3 linked regions of the Coturnix japonica genome follow. Each later gene encodes a partner of the first gene's protein in a complex. Links are inferred from orthologs where the notes say so. Each region holds a gene or a part of one and is shown in the gene's direction. Other genes may lie near its edges. The genes, in order: LAMTOR5, FLCN and LAMTOR3.

Region 1 (7,320 bases):
AGCAGCAGCAGCAGGCAGAGGGTCTGCAGCAGCCACCTCATGGTGCTGTTGTCTGCCTGCACCGCCTGCACCCCGGCCCTATATACCCCCCTGCCCTCCCCTCCAGCCTGGGTGGGTTATTGGGTTGTTTTTAACCTCCCAATCAGAGCAAGCAGATGAGACCTGCATCGTTAATAGTAGGAAAGAAATATTCTTTTCCCAGCGAGGAAGGGGGGGTGGAATACTCACAGAGCAGCCATCCCGCCCCCATCCATATCCCAGGGTTATTTCTCAGCTCAGCTAACACAGCTGGATTTGTTGGGCTGGTGCATATTTATCCCTGACAGGTGTAGCTGAGGATCAGATTGAGAATTAGCAGTTCTGGAGCTAAAAGGAGATAGATATAAAGGGCCGTCGTGGATGGTACATGATGTGTAAATGACTCAATTGGTGCTTCATAGGATAGTGGGATATCCTGAGTGTGTCCCCCCTCTCTATGGGTCTGATTGAATCTGGAGCGTCTGTTGGGAGCACATGGAAACAAGAGCAGGGATTGCTAGAGCTTAAAAACAGGAGAGGATGAACCGTCAGCATCTGCTTTTATTTACACATTGTGGGAGGGTGTGAGGGACAGAGCTCTGCATGGAGAAAGCTTCATGAATCCATAGAAATACACAGCTGTGGCTGGTGCTTGTCCTGTGCTCCCATGGCCCAGCCTGGGTTCCCATTGCCCAGTGCCATGTGTGCCCAGGAGGTGGCAATGCTCCTTTACACAAGGGCTCGAAGTAAGTCTCTATTGAAGGAGCATTACTGATATTGACCCACTGAATGGAATCTCTCCAGCCCTGGACTTCAAGGCACCATCCCTGTAACATCCAGGCTGCCAAACAGCAGAACAGCTTTGCTTCCTGCTGTCTCTGACAGCAGAATTTCTCTTGCACAGCATCAATCCCATGTTAAATTATCTATTTAATTGCCTAAAAATAGCCCGGCTATTTCCCCCTCCAAAGGCCAGCGTCCCCTTTGAAGTGGCAGCTGTTCTCCTGCTTTGCTGAAGTCTCCACCTGGTCTTGAATTAATTTCTCCCAGTCCTCAGAAATTCCTCCGTCCTAAAGCCTCACTGCAGGGAATGGGCCATCAGCTGGGATTCTGGGGTCCCTGTGTGTGTATGTATGGGGGGGATTCAACCTTAATAGGGCACAGCTGTATCTTATTCCTGTGTTCCCCCCCACAAAGGAGGGTGAAAATAACCCAAAATGGAGCTCTGGGACAGGCAGGATATCCAGTATGGGGGGGATGCAATGGGATTGGAGTGACTGGTGACGATTCCAACTCAATCAAGAAGGGGAAAAAAATTGAAAGAGAAATAAAACTAAGAAAAATCACCACTGCATTTCACTTCCCCCATCAATAACATTTTAATTTTCCAGCCTGACATGATAAGATCCATTGCCAGGGCTGAGCTGGATGCGTTTCAGCCATCAGTCTCAGGCTCTGATGGCTCTGCCATCCATCACCTCCTGCACACTGAAAGCAGGGCACGAATGGCTGTGATACAACACTACAGCCCCACGTCCTCTGTGGGAGTGGGTGTGGGGCCCTTACAGCTCTTTGGGGACAAATACAGGGCATAAAGAAAGGTATGGAGCTGTGTTGGGATGGACAGGATGGGTGTTAGGAAAAGGCTGAGCACCAGAGGGAGGTGGGCATGGCACAGCTCCACAGGGCAGGGGCACCCAAAACCATAGGGGTTGGGTGGAGGGAGTTGGACTTAGTGGTACCTGTAGGTCCTCATTGACCAGTGGTTGACTAATGGTTAACCAATGGTTGACCAGCTGTTGACTAGTGGTTGGCTTCTGGTTGACCAGTGCTTGCCCAGCAGTTGACTTGTGGTTGGCTAATGGTTGACCAGCAGTTGACTAGTGGCTGACTACTAGTTGACCAATGGTTGACCAGCAGTTGACCAATGGTTGACCAGTGGTTGACCAATGGTTGACCAACAGTTGACCAGTGGTTGACCAGTGGTTGACCAATGGTTGACCAGCGGTTGACCGGTGGTTGACTAGTGGCTGACCAATGATTGATTAATGGTTGACCAGTGGTTGACCAGCAGTTGACCAGTGGTTGACAATGGTTGACCAGCAGTTGACCAACAGTTGACTAGTGGTTAACAGTGGTTGACCAATGGTTGACCAGTGGTTGACCAGCAGTTGACCAATGGTTGACCAATGATTGACCAATGGTTGACCAATGGTTGACCAGCAGTTGACCGGTGGTTGGCTAGTGGTTGACCAATGGTTGACCAGCAGTTGACCAGTGGTTGACTACTAGTTGACCAATGGTTGACCAATGGTTGACCAGTGGTTGCCCAATGGGAACATACCGGTGCTGCTCAGGGCGGTTCCCGTACATTGGCTTCGCTTTTTGGCCCTGCGGAGCCACCGTAGCGTGCATCACATGACCGACGCAGCTGCCAGGAGCCGCCGAGAAGGGCGGAAGTGAAGGCGACAGGGGGGCGGCATGGAGGGGAGCCTGGAGCAGCACCTGGAGGACACGTACGGACCGGGATGGGGGCGGCGGGACCGAGGGGCTGGGGGGGGGAAGGAAGGCAAGGCCGCGGGCTGGGGGCTGGGTGTAGGCCGGGCTGACCGCCGCTTCTCCCGCAGCATGAAGAACCCGGCCGTGGTGGGAGTCCTGTGCACCGACTCGCAAGGCCTCAACCTGGGGTGTGAGTATGGGAGCGACCAGGGCAGGGCCTGGGTTAGGGGTGGGCATGGGGACACACATAGAGCCCCTATAGACCCCCATAGAGCCCCTATGGACCCCCTATGGACCCCTATGGACCCCCCCCATAGGACCCCTATGGACCCCTATAGAACCCCTGTCCCCCATAGAACCCCTGTGGACCCCCCCGCATAGAACCCCTATGGACCCCCCTATAGGACCCCTGTGGACCCCGCATAGAACCCCTGTCCCCCATAGAACCCTTATGGACCCCCCATAGAACCCCTATGGACCCCCTGTGGACCCTCATAGAACCCCTATGGACCCCTATAGAATCCCTGTCCCGCATAGAACCCCTGTGGACCCCCCCGCGTAGAACCCCTATGGACCCCCCTAGTAAACCCCCTATGACCCCCCCAGTATAAGACCCCTATGGACCCCGTATAGAACTTCCTGTCCACCATATAACCACTGTGCGACACCCCCCATAGAAACCCCTGTGGACCCCCTCATTAGAACCCCCCCCCAAACCACAGAACCCCTGTGGACCCCCCTGGATAGAACCCCTTGGTGACCCCCCATTAGAACCCCTATGACCCCCATAGATAAAAAAAAAAAACCCCCCCCCCCCCCCCTTAGAAACCCTGTGCCCCCCTGGCATAGAACCCCTTTGGGACCCCACCCAGTAGAAACCCCTATGGACCCCCTCCCCATATAACCCTATGGACCCCCCCCATATAACCCTATGGACCCCCCCATAGAACCCTATTGACCCCCCCATAGAACCCCTATGGACCCCCCATAGAACCCCTGTGGACACCCCATAGAACCCCCCCCATAGAACCCCTGTGGACCCCACCCCCAGTAGAACCCCTGTGACCCCCCCACATAGAACCCCAGACCCATAGAATCCCTGTGGACCCCCCATTACGAACCCCTATTACCCCCCCATAGAACCCCGTATTGGAACCCCCATAGAACCCCCCATAGAAACTCACGCATCGCAATGCGTGTCTGGATGCATACCCCCAAAGAACCCCCCCATAGAACCCCTTGGACCCCCCCCATAGAACCCCTGTGGACCCCCCTGCATAGAACCCCTGTGGACCCCCCTGCATAGAACCCCTGTGGACCCCCCATAGAACCCCTATGGACCCCCTTTGGGACCCCCCCCCCATAGAACCCTTATGACCCTCCATAGAAACCCCTGTGGACCCCCTGTAGAGCCCCTGTGGACCCCGCATAGAACCCCTTATGGACCCCCCCATAGAACCCCAATGGACTCCCATAGAAGCACCAGCACAGGTTGCCCCTAGCTAGATGTGGGTGCTCTGGCCCTGGAGACACTGGAAGTCAGGGATGGGGGCTGTGAGCATCTGCTGGAGCTATGGGTGTCCCTGTTCATTGCAGGGGGGTTGGGCTGATGGCCTTTATATGTCCCTACCAACTCATGTGATTCTTTGATCTGGGGAGGTACTACATCAGCTTACAGCAATAAGGGAAGGAAGTGGGGATGGGGAGCTGCCTCCCATCACGGTGTGCGTGAGTTCAACCCACATCTCCCCTCTTGCAGGCCGAGGAACGCTCTCAGATGAACATGCTGGAGTCATCTCTGTGCTGGCCCAGCAGGCAGCCAAGCTCACCTCCGACCCAACCGACACTCCTGTGGTGTGCCTGGAGTCAGACAGTGGGTGAGCATCCAGCCCAAGGCTGCTGCTCTTCCCTTTTTCCCCACCCCAAATCTCCAGAGCAGAGCTCTCCATCTTCTATTTCACTGGCAGAGCTGGAGGAAGCCCCATTGCTGAAGCTGTGTTGGGAGGGGGGTATGAAAAGAAGTCAGATTCATGGGACCTCAGGCTTTGGGAACTGCAGAAGCAGCTGGAAGCCTTTCAGGGGCTGGTGGTTGCTGCAGCACTGTATTTCTTTTGCTTTTTGGATCCCCATGGATTATTTAGCCCATGCTGTAGTGTCGTTTTGGTCAGCAGGACTCCATCATCCCCCTTTGTGGGAACAGCTGACAGGTCTGGCACTGAGCTGCCCATCTGGTTTCCCAGCCAAGTCAGCTCCTGCTCTCCCAGCTGGTTTCTCACCTTCCTCTGACAGCACTTTCCTTGCTCTAGGAACATCATGATCCAGAAGCATGACAGCATCACCGTAGCAGTGCACAAGTTGGCATCCTGACCGTGGCATCCTGATGCTCCATTCCCTGCTCCAGACCAGCTCCTCCTCATTCTCCTTGGCTGTTCCAATGCAGAACACGCTTCTAGTACCAAATCTGGGCTGAAGGCTCTCCCTCTCTACTTACCAGCTCCTATGCATCTATCAGGGTTTCCAGCTCACGTTTTAGCAGTCGTGCTGTTAAAGACGTGAGTCACTCACCAAGCTTGTGTAATGATAGATACTACAAGGTGTGTGTGTGTGTGCGTGGCCTTATTTGTTGGAGAAATCAATAAATGACCTGCAAAAACTGTTGCTTCTCTTTGATCCTACTGTGAAAGCCCATTGCTTTCCCTAAAGCCAATTGGAGGGACTTCTCCCAGTCTGATTCTTCATTGGCATTGCTGCAGAGAAAAGGGACCAAGACTTGGAGGTCCCTCCAGTAGAAGAGATACAAATAGTTCTCTATTCTCCTAGGAAATGTTTAGCCTCCTCTGGTTAAGCTTTCAGTGAGAGCAGCTTATTATTATGCTTCGGATTGAAGTTCAAACCTCAACTTGTTGGCCCTCGTGTGAACTGTGAACGGATGCTGATGACATCCCCGCGAATCCTCTCTTCCCTTTAGAGGTTTGAGCATTTGGAACTGGGCAGAACAATCCCATAGAAAGGCCCTGAAAAGCTGCTTTGCTCGAATGCTTCCGCAGCACAAGGGAGCAGACAGGAGCTGGCCTCATACGTGGAGCAGAAAGGAGGCTTCACTGCAGAGCATAGACCAACAGATAGGGCAGGGTTGGAGCTAAAACTGCATTCACTGTGTAAAACAGACATTCCTGACCTCACCATCACTGTTATGTATGTAGCAGGCTCTAAGGATGGGCTGCTCTGCACAGCGCTCTCATGGTGAGGTTGGTGCTAATGGAGGTGAGCAGTGCTACATCATGCCCATCATTTACCTCCCCTTTATTTTCTTTAATGCTCAGTTTCCAAGCTCATCTCCTCAAAACAGAGTGCAGACGCCCATTTTAAATAGCCCCAATAAATAGCCATGGGCTCCTATAAGAGCAAAAGTTAAAGGGCTGTGAGCACTCAGCTCTCCCATTAACAAGCCCTGGGATCACTGCCCTCATTATTAGGGCTGCTGGATACACAGGGATGGTCTCAGATGCTGCCACCTCCCCCCCTGCACCCTGTGCACCCCAAGCTCTCATAGCACACATTGCAAACACTGTCCCACCTATATAAAAGCTCAGCGCATGTGCTGGATGCCCAACTGTAAGGGAAGTTTCTCTATGCTGTTCTGTTTACCCCAGGATATCCGCTCCCGGATCCCACAGCAAGAAGGGAGTAAAGCAGGGATGGGACAGCCAGCCCCCCCGACCCCACAGCATTACCCTATTACAGTACTGCTGTCATCTCCTCCTGTAGGGCTGGGTGGCCACCAGCAGCTCTGGCTTCCATCCATCAGCTGGACACGGAGCCTCGGTCGGACCCCAGGAGACGGCACAGTTTCCTCCATAAAGGAATCATGCTCTGCCATAGGGGAAGGGGAGGGACTCCTGGCCTGGAGCAGCAGGGAAAGGAGGAGGAAGGATCCTAACACAAAGTCCTGCCTCGGTTTTGCATTGGTCGTCATCTCTGCCGGACACGGACGTAGGGCCAGGCTGGGGGGCAGAGGGTCACAAGCAGAGGAGGGGGGGTGAGAGGGGGGAACTTCACCACTGGAGCAAATGACGAGGAGATTCCTCTTTGCGTTCTGCTGTTTTGGGGAAGGTTTGGCAGCATGCAGCAGCAGCACGGCGGTAAGGAAGGGGTCGGGTTTGTTGGCTCGGCTGCTGCTGGAAGTATGGGATAGAATGGGAAGGAGGTGGGCAGGAAAAACCTCCCCAGGAGCTCAAAGATGGGATGGGCAGAGCCCAGGCTTTCAGCACAAACCAACCCTGTGCTCTAAAGGAAAGTGCTTAATTACACGCCTTGAGCTATTTAGGAAGGGGAAAAGAAAGTGAGCTGAAGGCAAGCAGTGAGACTGCGCCACCAAACAGAAGGACCGGGGGCATCTTTGGTGCTGTGGAGTTAATATACCCTGAATTCTCATTCCCAGGGGAAAGGAAAGAAGGAAAGGCAGAGCCAGCAGCAGTGATGGGAGATGGGAGCCAAGGCACGGACAGAATGTGGGCATGGGCAGCGGTGCTGCACTTCTTCCTGGTAAGCACGAATTCACCCCCAAACCTTTGTAAGATGGGGAGTGTGGGAAGTCTCCGGATGGGCTGATCCTATTCAACTAATGGCAGAGAATTAGGGGAAGGCTCAGAGGCAGCGAGTGCTTTGCTACAGGAGGACAGGCAGAGCAAAGAGTGAGGATGCAGCCAGCACCGAGCCTTCCATAGCTGGCAATGGTTAACCCCAGCCCTGGGCTGGGAGGCACCGACTGTCCTTTGTCCTTTGGGAAGGGAGCATGAGCTC
Region 2 (7,329 bases), on another chromosome or scaffold:
ATAATCGGAAGACCTGGGTGTTCTGGAAGATGCTGGATATGAAGTTGTTCACGCTGAAAGAAGTTTAAGTTTTTGTTCCTATACAATCAGCACGAAGGTATTCAACACACTACTGTTTTTCTGTGGTGGAAATCAGTTCTAAATGAAGGCTGTGCTATAGATCCTTTCTTTGTTTCTAAATATGATTCTTCATTATGGAGCCCTATACAACTCATAAAAAAACAATTTCATTTGGAACTAATTTGCTGGAATGGCATCTAGTTATTAATTCACTTTTTGTTGGCTTCTTTAAGGGTTTCACTTCTTAAATCAATGGGATTTTTATTTTCCTGTAGCTCTCATGTATCTGAAGATTCTGCCTGTTCAAACACCTTTGAGATCCTTCACATCAGTGCAAATCTCCTACTATCAGGCATACATAAACCTGTCATCAAGGCAGAATATGTGAAGCTCAGCACCTACTGCTTCCTGCTTAAACATCTGAATAGGAGCTGCTTGCTGCTGCTAACCTGCCAGCTTTTATCAGGTGTCAAAGTGGGAGCTAAGCATTTCTGGCTCTTGCCATGTTAAACTTGTCTGTATTGAGGTCACCTGTGGTTGAAAATAACCCATTTTGTGCTTCCAGTGCAGATACAGAACTGTTGGGGTTTTCATTTAAAGCTGGTCTCTTGATTCTAGCAGAGGCTGTGTGGTGGTAGTTTGCTTTCTAGGAGACAACTCTGCCCAGGGTTATTCTCTAGGTGCCAAATGAAGTATTTAAAAGCATAAAATAGCAATTTAGCAGTGAACACAGCATAAGTCCACAGTGTTAGTTGTTCACCATTGAGAATTTGTGCTTCCTATCAGCAACTTCCATATTTAAAGGCAAATTTTACACCTAAACACGCCTTACTGGTCTTGTCATTAAATATATTTATGTTTTTTAATGTTTGAGGTTTTTTTTCCCTCTAGTTAATCCCGCAGTGATTTCAGTCCTAAAAACGCTCATGTAACTTTTTGCTCTGGTTCTGTGTTCAATACCCGATGAGCTGCGCTGTGGGCTCAGGCACAAAGCAGGGTTATGGGAATGTTTACAGTTGTGTGCAGTAAAGCACTGCAAATCCAGACTGCCACATAGAAATGGTGATGGTTCACCTCATTGCCAAAGGGGAATGTATGCACAGTGCATTTGTGAAGCCTGAGAAGAACCAGAAATGTTCTCTCTGCAGTAGCTGAGCTTTTTGTATTGCTGGTTCCTATTAGTAAGCACGAACGTTCTGCTGAGGGCTGAATGCCCTTATGTCTGTGGAATTACAAGCAAATTAATAGACGTACCTGGCAAATAGAAGCTGTGTTTGCTTTGTTTCTTTTCCTGACATAGATAAAATAAACCTATACTGCACATCAGGAGGGCTGGCAGACAGATCTGTGTAGTATTTTCAAACAATATATCGCACTATTGTTCTTGATCTGCTTTTTAAGGAGGCACTTTGTTACTTGCTGGTGGAAAATCTGAAGTCAGGTCCCAAAGTCTGAAGTATTCACCAAAAGTGCTTTGGGAAAAGGCTTTTGAGCAATGGTTTGACTAAATGCTTCAGGTCTGGCATCTGCATGTCCTGAGATACTGATGAAACCAAGTCAGAGCTTTTAAATGAAGAAGCTCCTTCAAGTCTTGGAACTAACTGCATGGGGCTGCGGTGAGCTGAGACGCATTGAGAACACTTGAGCTTTCTGCTTTTAATTTGTATTTATTGCAAGGAAGGACTGTAGATCCAAACGTAACAACACTGTGTGCTCTGCTGCTCTGAGCATGCTTTGATATCTGCTATCATGCTTTGATATCTGCTATCATGCTTTGATATCTGCTATCATGCTTTGATATCATAGTTCAATGCGCCATCATTTGCAAAGAGAAAGTGCAGCTCTGGAGGGAGCCCTTGTCTTGCAACTACAGCTCTTAGCCACAGGAGGGGTCTCTACTTCACTCTTAGCTGGTAATATAACGATGCAGAGGTTTTTTTGGTTGTTTTTAAAGAAAAAAAGGCTGGAATCCGTGTAGCAGCCCCCCTTGTATGTCTGTGCCACATGGGAGCCGTGCGTACTGCCCCTTGTGAACATCCATAGTGCTGCCATCGCACCAAGTGCTTCTGCATAACCCAGGTTGCCTTGTAGGCAACACTTGTACTTGGAGGCACTTCTGGGCAGTACAACTGCGCCCCACCGTGTGTGTTGTGTTGTGTAACGTAGGAGATGTTTCTGCATGGCCACAGCAGCCGACGAGGTTCGTCCTGAGCAGTTGTTTCAATGTACTATTGGAAAATAAAGGTCACAAACCAGCCCGCTCTTAGTTTGTCTTTAAATGCTTGGCCTGAAGGAACGAGATGGTAGAGCTTTGGTGTTTGCCTTCATCTCTAGGTGTTGTTCTTTATTGGGGGGTGCTTTTGTTCTTATTGTGCTGCTGTCCTTGCCCAGCACTGGCTCTGAGGTTACATGGAAATTGAATCAGGCCTTTGCTGCAAGTGGTGGTGCTGTATTAATTAGCGGTGCTGTATTAATTAGCAGCGCTGCTGGCTGCCTTTAATCGCCCCGTCTCGTCTCACCCCCCCGCGCTCCCAGCAGTGGTTGCTCCCAGTCCCGTGACTGGGCGGCTGCGGGTCGCGGTCATTGCCGCTGCCGCGGGGGGGGAGGAGTGCGCCGGGAGCTGTGTGTGGAGGCGGGCAGCCCCCTGCTGTCCGGCCACCAGCTGCATCCCCGTCCCGATCCCTCTGCAGCCTCATCCCGCTCCTCGCCGCTCCTTGGGCGGCTGATCAGCGGGGAGCTGCCTGCCCGCATCCCCAGCACCCCCCCCCCGCGGCCCGGTAGGATGGTACGGCCCGGCGGTCAGCGTGTGTCAGCTGCCCGCAGCCACGGGACGGGCCGGGGCGGGAGCCCGGAGCGGTGAGAGGACGGGAACGGGGCTGGGGGAGCGGGGGGTGGGCCGGGCAGTGGGGGAGCGGGCACTGAGCGGGACCGGGACCGGGACCGACCGTGTGGCTGCGTGGGGACCGGGGGTGGACACACAGCGCCGGGCCGGGCCTGTAGGATGCAGCGTTAGAACGGGGGGAAACGGCTTCGGGCTGAAAGGGGACGGTTAGATTAGATACGAGGGGAAATGCTTCGTACTGAGGGCGGTGAGGAGCCGCCGTGTGCCCGCCATGGAGCTGTCCCAGGCCGTAGTTGGGCCCTGGGCAGGCAGCACACGGCACGGGTGGGGCTGGTGGCCTCTGAGGGCCCTTCTCTGTGCTGTGCCATCGGTTTGGCTGAGAAACGCTTGCATGGAGATCCTTAAGGATGGCTGACACAGCACTGGGCCGGCACAGCCCCATCCTGACACGGTCTGAGGTGCCCAGGTGCTGAGTGATTGTGCTGCTCTGGGCCTGTCCTGTGAAGGTATGAGCACAGCCCAGGGTGGAACTGTGCTGGACACCCCAACTGAGCAGCTCTTGGAAAGACACAGATCAGCATTCACACCTGACAGGCCCATGGGGTGTTGTAACAGCAATTCTAACAGCAGTTCTTGTGCCAGTTTGTATATTGATGCTATGTGTTTTTTCACTCACCTGCAGGAGACCCTGACGGATGTGCTGAGCTCTCGCTATGAATGCTATTGTTGCTCTCTGCCATTTTTGTGAGCTCCACGGTCCCCGCACCCTCTTTTGCACTGAGGTTCTACATTCACCGCTTCCTCAAGGTGCCAGCAGCGGGGATATCACTGGGCAGAATGAGCAGGCGGAAGAGGAGGAAGGCGGCATCCAGATGAGCAGCAGGATCCGCTCGCACAGCCCAGCTGAAGGTGCCAGCGCTGATTCCAGCAGCCCAGGGCCAAAGAAGTCAGACATGTGTGAGGTAAGTGTGAATAGCTGTACACAGAACATCAGTGTTTCTTTGCTTGACTAAAGGGCTCTTGGGTTATCTGATGAACACATGAACTACCCCTGTGCTTTCATATAACTGACAGTACTAAAAAAGTCCTTATAAACTGCAGTGACCCACAACAGAAGTTGAAGGAAATGTTATTAAGCAAACTGACAAAGCAAGTTTCTCTGTTAAGGTCTTTTTAAGCCCTGCGTGTGATTTTCATGTGTCTGAGAGACGCTTCCCTTGGCCTCCAAAGGTTTCTGCTTCATTAGACCAGGTTCTACCATTGATTAATAGCAATATTTAGCAGCAACATCAAATAGGGAACAGGAAAAAAAAAACCAAAACCAACCTTAAAGCTCCTAAAACTAGAGAAAAAACTGTGTTTTTAGTTTTTCCTTTGTGTGGCTACTATTAGCACTTGATCTGAGCTACTTGTTATTTACTTGCCTTTAGGTTATGGCCAGTGCTTTTGTTGGCCAGTTGCTTTCACAGGTGCTATGAACTGACTTGTACTGCTTGCAGAGCCATCACCATCAAATGCACAATCAAATTCAGCAGTGGAAAACTGGCATAGAAAGGATCTGAGTTTAAGTGCTCACCCTGACTCAAACTGCTTGCATTCTGAATACTTGAGTTTATATGTGTAAATAATGCTACCCTACGTTTAGAAGGGAAAACGCAAAGGCAGCTGGAAACCTTTGAAATCTGCATGTTCGTTTATGCTTGGATTTGCTTTTCTGTCTTCAGGGTTGCCGCTCTCTTGCAGGAGGACATCCTGGGTTTGTCAGCCACGACAAGGAGACTTCGATCAAGTATGTCAGTCACCAGCACCCAAACCACCCCCAGCTGTTCAGCATTGTGCGCCAGGCCTGCGTTCGCAGTCTGAGTTGTGAGGTAACTCTTTAGGAGTACAGGAAGAAATCCTGCTTAGGGCCTTACCTTGGGGATGCTTTTCCTCTTGACTTCTGAGATGTGAAAGTTCTCTTATTTTCACTCCTGTGCATTTATTGTTTGTGTTTTTAATATAAACTGATAAATTATTTGTGTAAAAATGTTGGCATCTATTGCTTTGTATTGAGAAATAATTGGTCTTTATAAACTGCTGACGTTCAGTGTCTCATATAAATGGAGAGCTTTACAGACTAGTGTTTGTGTGCCAGCATCAGGAATTCCTTGTGATTTCTCCACAGTGTTGTAGCTGAACTGAGCAAAATCTGTAAAATAAAGATAAATTGAAGGCTTTATTATGTTTGTTTGACCACAGGTTTTAGATAGCAGCCTTAAAAAAAATTGTTTTATTCATCAGATGTCTGTTAAATAGCAGCAAGCTTTTGTTATACAGTTCATTGCTCTTCCAGCTGAGCTTCTTTGGTCTGTATGTCCCCCCCATTCAGGTCTGCCCAGGACGTGAAGGGCCTATATTTTTTGGAGATGAACAGCATGGTTTTGTGTTCAGCCACACCTTCTTTATCAAAGACAGCCTGGCCCGAGGCTTCCAGCGCTGGTACAGCATCATCACTATCATGATGGACCGGATTTACCTCATCAACTCATGGCCTTTCTTGCTGGGAAAAATCAGAGGCATCATCGATGAACTTCAGGGCAAAGCACTTAAGGTGGGTCAGTGAGTGAGTCCTTTTGGCTCAGCATTATAGAATCATAGAATCACCAAGGTTGGAAAAGACCTAAAAGATCATCCAGTCCAACCGTTCACCTATTACTAGTATAGTAATATTAGTACAGCCTTTTGGTAGCTTTCTGCATCTTAATCCAAAAGCTGCTCTGGCTCACTGCAATCAGTTTAAGGTTGATACAAGGAGTAAAAGGGCTGTGTGTATCTGGGTCTATAGGAGAGAGGCCACCTTTGTTCTTTTAAGCCATTTGTGATGCCTTTCAGGCTCCAAACTGCCACACAATAGCTCTGTTAGAATTTAAGTACCCAAAGTAGTGAAGGACAAAGTTTTGAGAGCTGATGTTTTACTTAATGATAATGTTAATCAATCTAAGAATAAGGTATTTTACCTTCCCTCATTATTTAGTGTATTTGAATGACTGTGTTTGATGCACCTCTTTCTGTTGTGGGTGTTCCTTAGCGTTTTGGTGATTTTAGTTTTCTATCAGCCTTTTATAAGACTGTTACACTGTCCACTGTCTGTGCTGCAGGTGTTTGAAGCTGAGCAGTTTGGGTGCCCTCAGCGTGCTCAGCGGATGAACACAGCATTCACCCCCTTCCTGCACCAGCGCAATGGCAACGCAGCCCGTTCCTTAACATCCCTGACCAACGATGAGAACCTGTGGGCATGTTTGCACACTTCTTTCGCTTGGTAATATCACTTGTGTTTCTGGCTTCTGGAACACAAAGAAAATATTGCCTTATTTTGAAAGGGTGGAAATGTTTGGGTTGTTTTTCTTGATGTAGTAAGCTGGACTTTGCTAAGAAGTCTCTGAATTGGAAGGAGCTGAGCACGGAAGGCCTCGTGATGGCTTTAAGGCAGAAATAGTTCTTATTGCAGTGAAGTAAATCTCCTTATGTGACTATTGATGGGAAAACTGAAGTACGAGGAAAAGGAAGGAGAAATGCAAGGAAAGACACTCCCACCCCTCAGTGTGTCATCAGAATTCCCTGGAAAGATGCCACAGAGAGGGATGCAGTGCTGGCATGTGACTTGGGTGGGGGATAAGCATATTGCACAAGGTAATTGCAAAATGGTAGGCCTTGCAGTGACTGAGCAATTAGAACACTGGTAGTTAGGACAAAGGAACATGTAGGCGTGTGGATAAGGAACACGTACTGGTAAATGGTTGAATGTTTTGTTACACCAAGTTTCTTTCTCTGTTTTGTTGCTTGGCATTCATTAAGCCTGCTTACTGCTTCCACCTGTTTTTCAATGTCTCCAGGCTTCTGAAAGCTTGTGGCAGCCGGCTTACAGAGAAACTTCTGGAGGGAGCTCCAACTGAAGACACCCTTGTTCAGATGGAAAAACTTGCAGGTGAGGCCAGAGTTTCCAGAGCTGGAAGATCCTCTAAGAACGCTGTGGCTGGTAAAACACCAAGTGCTTTTGCCAGCATAGCAAGTGCAACCATCTCTCTTGGACCCCACCTTAATGGTAGCCCTGCAGTAGCTGATGTGCTTTCCCATATGACTGTGACTTCGAGGGACATGAAATCAATGCCTGTGGCATTGTAGGCTCTCTGCATACACTTATGTTGTTTATTGTTTGTGTAGGAACATTGCATCATTGTCATTATTGTTCTCTGGCTGGGTTGGCCTTCCCAGTTTATCTCTATAGCCAGAAGAATTTGCAGGCAAAATATGGAGCTTTCTTCTTGCTCTTTTTTTTTCCTACCAAGTTTCTAAAATTAAGGAATCTTAAATTCTTATATTTAGTGATTTTATTTCTCCATTTAGAATAGAATCTGCAAAATCTGCCTAAAAGCTGTGGCAGTGAC
Region 3 (7,482 bases), on another chromosome or scaffold:
TCCAACATTCGGAACAACTGCTGGAAGGAGAGGCAGCAAAGTAAGCCTGGTCATTTCATGAAATAATGCATTATTCCATATTTAAAGGAAAAAAAAGGATTATCTCCATCAAGAATGGAGCTTGTATTGTTCATATATCTGGAGAAGAAAACAAGGTGAAAGGTTCCCTACTGTTTCTCACTTGTAGAGGTGTCCCAGCTAGCGTCACCTAATAGTGTGGACCAAGAAGAGAAGTTTACATTTAGTGACCTAGCTATTATACAGAGATGTTACTGGGATATGGTATTTGTGTTTCCTCTTGTATTTCTCTTATATATATATATATATATATATATATATATATATATATATAAAGTCCTTGACGATGCAAAGCGGCCCTACCTTTCCATATGTAAATACATAATAGGAAAGATATGATGACTGGAGAAGCATCTGACTCTAATGTAAAGAACAGCAACTGCGTGAAAGTGGTGACTGTCACATTGTTTTCTGTTTGCAATTTACCAGACAGTGATAATTACCCAAAATGATGTAAAAGAAAGCAACCCCAATAGATTGTCTCTATTTATAGAAACAAGTGACATTTATTTTTACAGATTTAAAATACTTATTGTGTTTGGAAATTTTTGACAGCTAGAATCTTCTTTCCAGTGTTGATTGACACTCTGGAACGAATTAAAATGCAGAGCAATGTCAAGCTGTTGAACATCAGTATAATACAGAGAGCTCCTAATAATAGCTATGAACGCTGGCAATCTGAAGCAGCATCTATTGAAGTAATAGGCTTAACATTCAGAATGAATTGTGGGGCACAGGCAAGATGCTAGTTCTGTAATTGGGTGCTGCTGCATGAAGTGTGAGGGTGCTGGAAGGTTATTACTGTGACTGCTAGAAAAGATGACGTGCTTGTGGAGACAGTGAAAGGAAGCCTGTAGTGCTGCTGTTACATGATATCTGTGGGTAGTTAGAGAGAAAAAGGGTGAGGATTAAACCCGAGTTGTTGTGGACTGCTCTGAGAAGGAATGCACAGCATGTACAGAGCATTCAGTTTTAAACCTGAAAAGTGTTTTCTCTTTTTCTTTTCTCATAAAGAAACAGATTTACTTCATGTATCGAAAGTTTATCGAGATGACCGTCTCCGAAAGAAAGCAGACTCCATGTCCATGGAAAACTGCAAAGAACTCGAACGTTTGACCAGCCTCTATCGAGGAGGATGAACTGCTTTCGTATGCATCTCTCCTGTAAATTAAGAAGAGATTTAGTTTCACCGTGAATGCTGGAAAAGAGGGTGGATGTAAAACTCTACTGTGTAGCTGTTTCCAGAAACCTTAAGCTGAAATATCATGTAACGGCTTCTTTACCTACTGTGAAATATAGGTAACTTTAATTGTCTAGATTTTACTTCGAAGCTTCTGTGAATTCTTTCAGCAGAGAGAATAGCTTAGAAAGGATGCTATACTTGTAGAAACTTAGTCATAGTGGTTCTCCTCTAACATATTTGCCATGTAAATATCTGTGGAAAGAACATTTTGTGTATATACGAGTTAAATGACTTTCTATTTAAAACCTCAGAAGTTTAGTTCCATACAACATTTTGTCTCACCGATGGAATAAATAGAGTCTGGTTACATCACTCCAATTCAGATGTCGAGCGTGTGGAGTTGGAACGAGGATTTGTAATGTTTTATCTCTATGTAACATCTTCTAGGCCCGCCAGCTTAGAGGAACTGGGTATTTTTAAATATAACAGCATATATTCCTAATGGTCTGCTGGGCTGCGTTCATCTGGTGTAGCACAGCAGTCAGTTGTTGTGGTTATTTTAGTGTTTCTAAGCCATGCTGAGAAAACTGAAGGACTGCACTCAGCTCTTTGCCTGGTGACTGTTGTATGCAGGTTCTGTACTGACCATGGTAAGCATTGCATCTAGTGCTCGTGGCAGCTGTACTGACCATGGTAAGCATTGCTCTTAGTGCTCATGGCAGCTGTACTGACCATGGTAAGCATTGCTCTTAGTGCTCGTGGCAGCTGACGGTAGCTCTCTCATTTGGTATCCAGTGCTATAGTAAATCCATACGTATGGCTAACATGCATAGAGCTTCCTTAATTGTCACTGGGAAGACAGAAGAAAACGTGAAGGGAAAAAAAAAACAACAACTTATTTATTTTTTTCCTGGGAAACTTCCATTTTCCTGCTGTGTTTTGATTTGGAGATAGATCCTGATGGTGACTTGTCAATGGGCACCACAGGTGGAACAGAGACATCCAGCTGAGCCTTGTGCCTGTCAGTTCTTTGGCCGGTTGTTTCAGTGCTCACTGCTCGTGCTGCTGTGCTCAGAGCCGCGTCACTTGTTCAGGGCTGGAGGTAGAGGTGGTTGGGGTGTTGCAGGTCCGTTTATTTGGGCCTGAATGCTGCAGGATTGACGTGGAAATGATCAAACACACTGTGCGGCTCCTCCATCCAGCACCACGTACCTCAGTGAGTTACTCCGGACCCGCAGGTGGCGCTGTGTCCCGGCGCCGGGCGGTGCCGTCGCCCCGCTGCCGTCCCGCAGTGCGCACGCTCGGCAGCGCCGGGCCCAATGATCCGTGCCGAGTGAGGAGGCGCTTCGCGTCGTGTCAGCTGACGGGACTAAGGGAAGTGCGGCCGGGGCGGTCAGGTACGGCAGGGCCGCCAAGGGGGATCGGCCACAGCCCGCTCTGCTGCCGCGGCGGGGCGGGAGGAAGAGGCCCTGCCCGGCCCTGCCCTCCTCCGCTCCGTGTGCCGCCGCTGAGCGGGCGCCTCTCGTCCCGTAGGGCCGCCGAAGGGGCAGCAGCGCCGCGAGGCCTCCAGCCATGGCCGATGTAAGCGGGGCGGGGCGGTTGGGCTGCGGGGGGCCGGGATGCGCTGCGGGTCGTGTCACGGCGCTGTCTGTTCCCGCAGGACCTGAAGAGGTTCCTCTACAAGAAGCTGCCCAGGTAACAGTTGCTCCATTCGCATCTCCCCCTCCGCCTTGTGCCGCTCTGAGCCCGCCCTGCCGCTTCCTTTCACGTGCCTGCCCCGTGCGCGGCTGTTGGTGGCGGTGGGTCAGTAGATGAGTCATATGCAGCAGCTGTGCCCTTTGTAATTATCGCTTCCTTCTGCAGCGTCGAAGGTCTCCACGCTATTGTGGTGTCGGACAGAGACGGGGTGCCTGTCATCAAAGGTAACGGCAGTGTGCAGCATCCAGTGTGCAGCATCCAGCTGTGTGTGTGCTAATTCCTCCTGGGTTTGGTACCGTCATTTCTAGCCCATCTCAGTCCTCCTTCAGGATCCCTCTGCGGTGCAGGTGAACTGGTTTAAGCACAGCAAGGTTCGGTGTTGCTATTTGGTGGTGTTTCTTAGTGGTTCATAGTACTTATGCAGCCAGCTGGACATGCACATCTCCATCCGCCTCCCCTCTGGTGGCTGTTTGGCAGCAGTCAGTTCCCAGAGCGTGTCCCACAGCACTGTATGTGGGATGTGAACTGGAGTGCTGTGCTGTGGTCACAGGTCACCTGCAAGGCATTAAACAATCTGCTGCCCTTGAAGACTGTGCTTGTTGTGAAGGCACAGGCGATGTCTTATGTGTTTCTGACACCACGTAGCTTTTGGGTTTGTTTGTGATGCAGTCATTGATACCATGTTAAAGCAAAAACTTTCTTGTTCTGCCCCAGTTGCCAATGATAACGCACCAGAACACGCCCTACGACCCGGCTTTCTGTCCACGTTTGCCCTTGCAACGGATCAGGGCAGTAAGCTGGGACTTTCCAAGAACAAAAGCATCATCTGTTACTACAACACATACCAGGTGAGTGACCGCAGCCTGGGGCCGGAGCTCCTCGTGTGTTACCATGAGCATCATGGGAGAGAACATGGTGGAAACTCTGCTTGATTTCCACTTGGCTCTTGGTGCTTTAATTCCCTTGTTAAAGCTGGCTAAGCTACATTCTTGCGCTTTATTGAACTCTTAAATGCTTCTCAAGGCTGAGAAGGCTGGCGGGTTGAAGTTGGTCGAGTTTTCTGTGCAGCTGGCGACCAAGCACCAGCAGGTGGTGCTGCTGATGTGCCTTCAGACTGCCACGAAGGGCTTATGTTCTTTTTGCATAGGGTATTTGTTTATTACTAACACAGATAAACGAGCACGTGCAGCTCACTTAACAATTAATATTGCTGTTAGAAGGACTTCAAGGTAAGAAAACGCTGAAATATCTACTTGCCGTTCTTACAAGCTGGATATTTGCACTGTGAGTTTTTTGTTACCTACCCAGTGTCTGCTCATAAGCCTGCCTGCCCACTTGATACCTATATAAAGGAGCTTCCACAGAGCACTCAGCTTCCTGCACTGTGCTGCCAGCTTCATTAGCACGTTTATCTGTGGCACCCACTGTGTGTTGGCTGAGGGGTAAACTGCTTCTCTCTCTTGCAGGTGGTGCAGTTCAATCGCTTACCTTTGGTAGTGAGCTTCATTGCCAGCAGCAATGCTAATACCGGTACGTCTCCAGGTGGCTTTAAATGTTTGCAGTATTTTAAGCCCCGAATGTTTTAAATATTTGAAAGTAAATAGAGTTTTCTTCAAGGTGCATTAACTTTTCTCCTTAATGTGTCGGAATATACTGAAAAGTTGGGAGATGCACAGGTAAAGACCCATAGATTCTGGGTGACCTGCTGAGGTTATGATTCCATTAGAAATGCTATGGAAAACCATTCCTGAGACTTGGAAGCTTTTGTAAGAGTGCTTCTCTGGTTTGTTGTTTGATGGATGTTGCGTCTCTTGTCTCTTCCTAGGGCTGATTGTAAGTTTGGAGAAGGAGCTCACGCCCTTGTTTGAAGAACTAAGGCAGGTTGTTGAAGTTTCTTAACCTGATGGTACAGTCAGAGCGCAGCGTCCATCTGCAGCCCCATGGACAGGAAGATTGAATAATCCTCAGTCCAGTAACACGTCTCAGAAGATATATCACAGCTCCTTAGTACACTAAGTAAAAGTAAATTGTACATAGTGCTGAATCTGAAATGATCTGCTGGTGTGTTGTAGGCGGATGTTACTTTAGACCACGCTTCTTGTGTAGTGCAGTGTTGGAGACCACCAAATAACTCCCATGGAGTTTAGCTCAGCCAACTTAACCACGTTAGCACAGTGCTCTTGGCTCAGGTGAGCAGCCCACAGACCTTTTGCTTTACTGAGCACCAGGCATACAGTGGGGTTTATCCCCAGACTGGCTACCACAGCTGGTAACAGATGGATTGGTGTTAGCAAAGATGTGGCTGAAGGAGCATCGTGAGAGCATGGTTGCTAGCAGCAATGTATCAGTACAATCAATCAATATCCTGTCTTGTTGGCGATGCTTCGGTCAAAGAATCTGACTAATGTGGGTGTTGGCTGCATCCTGCTTTCACCGAGATTGCTTTTTCTATGAGCTGTTGCTTTAGGGGTTTTCCTGATGCCCACAGGAAAGCACACGAACCATGTTTCGCTTCGTGGGGTTTTTGTGTAACACAATTGTGAAGTTCTCATGCCTTGTAGTCTTTGTGTGGATTCATCACGGGTGACACTCAGCTCATTTACCCCTAGGTTTTCCTAAGTAAATAAATATAAATAAAATGTATTTTTAAATGACAGAACCTGGTCCACTCCTCTGTTGCACCACAATGTAGCACCATTTCTGTGCAGAGAATGGGTTTCTTCATCACTTGTAAGCTAATAGAAGCCAGGAGCTCACAGGTAAACAGCCCCAAGGCATCCGTGTGGGTGCTTGTGGCAAACATCATTCCTGTTCCATCCAGGGAGAATCTCTTGCTGTTGTTTCCTGCTCAACCTGCCCAGTGCCCTTGCCCTAAATGCTTCCTAAGCCAACTGAGTGCTGACTCTTGCTGGCTTCCATCTGTGGCATCACGCACTGAGCTTGTTTCTGATGTTTTGTAATGTGTGAAGAGGAAGGTTGCTTCTGTGGTTGCACTTGGAGCTTCATTCTCAAGATGTTGGCACAGGAGAGCAATGGTATGAGAGAACATCACATCTTTCTTCTAATGCTGCCCTTATTGCATGCCGAGTTATATCAGTGCTTTATAACTAAGTTGGAGATGCAAGTTGTTCATTGACTCTTAAGGCAGAAAGGAGGACTAATGTATCTTGCAAAGCTTTAACGATACACTACAGAATTACAGAAGACCTTTGTTAGTTTTATAATGACATTTTATTCAGAAAACAGTGTATAAAAATATTTACAAATATTTTGAATTAGAAGTTGAAATAAAACGCTATTCCTGTCCAGAGCTGGATTTTCCTTCTACTTTGTTGTTCTACTATGTTTCTACTCCCTTTCCTCTTCAGCTTTCTCACAGTAAAGGCATCTACTGAACACTGAGCTGCTGCTGCTGCTGCACGATGTCCAGGGAAGAAGGTTTGCTTCATCAGATGTGACTGTTACAGAGCGGGATCTCCCTGCTCAGCCCAGCTCTCCCAGAGGAGCAGCTCAGATGGGAGAGCAACAGCAAAACTTGCTTTCAAAACATAACGCCTCTTTCCATCATAGCACCAAAGCATGAGGCTTCTGCTTCTGAACTCCGGGGAGCCACACTCAGGTGTGCTTGTGTCTTCCACAGTGCACATGGAGATGCTCACCCATTATGCAGAAGACATACTCTTTTAAACGCACACTTATATGTGTGGTTTTTTAGTGTATATCACGCTTTCCCGTTGCTCTAGTTCAGTATAAAGCAAGCAGTGCTTAATTCTCGAATGCAGTCATGGATAAAACCTCTTATTGTATAAACCGAGTTTTCTGTTCAAAGGGAAAAAAATACAAAATCTAGCTCATTTTCAAAGGGGAGCACAGCACTCAATGCTGCTAAAATGCTGGTGGCTGCCACCAGCAAAGCCCCATGCAGAACTCCATCATCCACCCTCAGTGGTGAAGTGAGTACGTCTGTGATTAGTTAATGGGTGCCTCAGTGGCTGAGCCTTGCAGACATAAACCACGTGCATCAAACCAACACTGTGATTTTGCAATGGGCTCCACACGACTCAGCAGCCTGAAAGCAGTTAGTCAGCTGTACAGATCCTCTGTGTGCAGAGCTGGATGCAAACGTCTGCATGGGGGCAGACACACGTGCATGTGCCCTCAGCAGGTAATGAAGATGTAGAACCATCTTCCTGTGGCTGAGGGGCAATTCCTGCCCGTGGAGTGGAAGGATTAGGGGTGCAGCTGGGAACTGGAGGCACTGTGCTGCTCCACTTGCTTCCGTATTTGTGACTAGAACAGAGAAGCAACCCATTACTGTTTACCTGCACGTGGATGTGGGTGAGTAAAACCAAGCTAAATAATGATTTTTTTTTAAGGAATTAAGTCTTCTTGTTTCCTTCAGGACCCAACGTGTGCAATCTGTGCTGTTCAACACTGTACACCATCTACATGGTGACAACTTTAACAATGTTGATTCACTGCTTCTTTGTAACAAGCCTAAATATCAAACGGCATCCCAAAGT

What was found.
Region 2: LAMTOR5 (region 1) and FLCN share a complex: the UniProt entries of both Homo sapiens proteins name them as parts of the lysosomal folliculin complex. The link is inferred for Coturnix japonica from reciprocal best matches to the Homo sapiens genes LAMTOR5 and FLCN.
Region 3: LAMTOR5 (region 1) and LAMTOR3 share a complex: the UniProt entries of both Homo sapiens proteins name them as parts of the ragulator complex. The link is inferred for Coturnix japonica from reciprocal best matches to the Homo sapiens genes LAMTOR5 and LAMTOR3.

The regions. Positions count from the first base shown.
Region 1 is NC_029541.1:1,786,450-1,793,769, reverse strand, and holds LAMTOR5 (ragulator complex protein LAMTOR5), read left to right. Parts: upstream 1-2,399; 5' UTR 2,400-2,499; coding exon 2,500-2,534; intron 2,535-2,645; coding exon 2,646-2,707; intron 2,708-4,276; coding exon 4,277-4,394; intron 4,395-4,823; coding exon 4,824-4,884; 3' UTR 4,885-5,171; downstream 5,172-7,320. Other genes in the region: PROK1 (prokineticin-1), read right to left, coding at 1-41; SLC16A4 (monocarboxylate transporter 5), read left to right, coding at 6,150-6,510, 6,959-7,062. UniProt on the Homo sapiens protein: As part of the Ragulator complex it is involved in amino acid sensing and activation of mTORC1, a signaling complex promoting cell growth in response to growth factors, energy levels, and amino acids.
Region 2 is NC_029529.1:4,763,763-4,771,091, reverse strand, and holds the start of FLCN (folliculin), read left to right. Parts: upstream 1-2,650; 5' UTR 2,651-2,916; intron 2,917-3,584; 5' UTR 3,585-3,615; coding exon 3,616-3,864; intron 3,865-4,626; coding exon 4,627-4,773; intron 4,774-5,273; coding exon 5,274-5,495; intron 5,496-6,042; coding exon 6,043-6,203; intron 6,204-6,777; coding exon 6,778-6,869; intron 6,870-7,329. UniProt on the Homo sapiens protein: Multi-functional protein, involved in both the cellular response to amino acid availability and in the regulation of glycolysis.
Region 3 is NC_029519.1:54,080,209-54,087,690, reverse strand, and holds LAMTOR3 (ragulator complex protein LAMTOR3), read left to right. Parts: upstream 1-2,544; 5' UTR 2,545-2,658; intron 2,659-2,794; 5' UTR 2,795-2,833; coding exon 2,834-2,842; intron 2,843-2,921; coding exon 2,922-2,956; intron 2,957-3,124; coding exon 3,125-3,183; intron 3,184-3,673; coding exon 3,674-3,807; intron 3,808-4,425; coding exon 4,426-4,489; intron 4,490-4,784; coding exon 4,785-4,858; 3' UTR 4,859-5,615; downstream 5,616-7,482. Other genes in the region: DNAJB14 (dnaJ homolog subfamily B member 14), read left to right, coding at 1-40, 1,093-1,217; DAPP1 (dual adapter for phosphotyrosine and 3-phosphotyrosine and 3-phosphoinositide), read right to left, coding at 7,190-7,249. UniProt on the Homo sapiens protein: As part of the Ragulator complex it is involved in amino acid sensing and activation of mTORC1, a signaling complex promoting cell growth in response to growth factors, energy levels, and amino acids.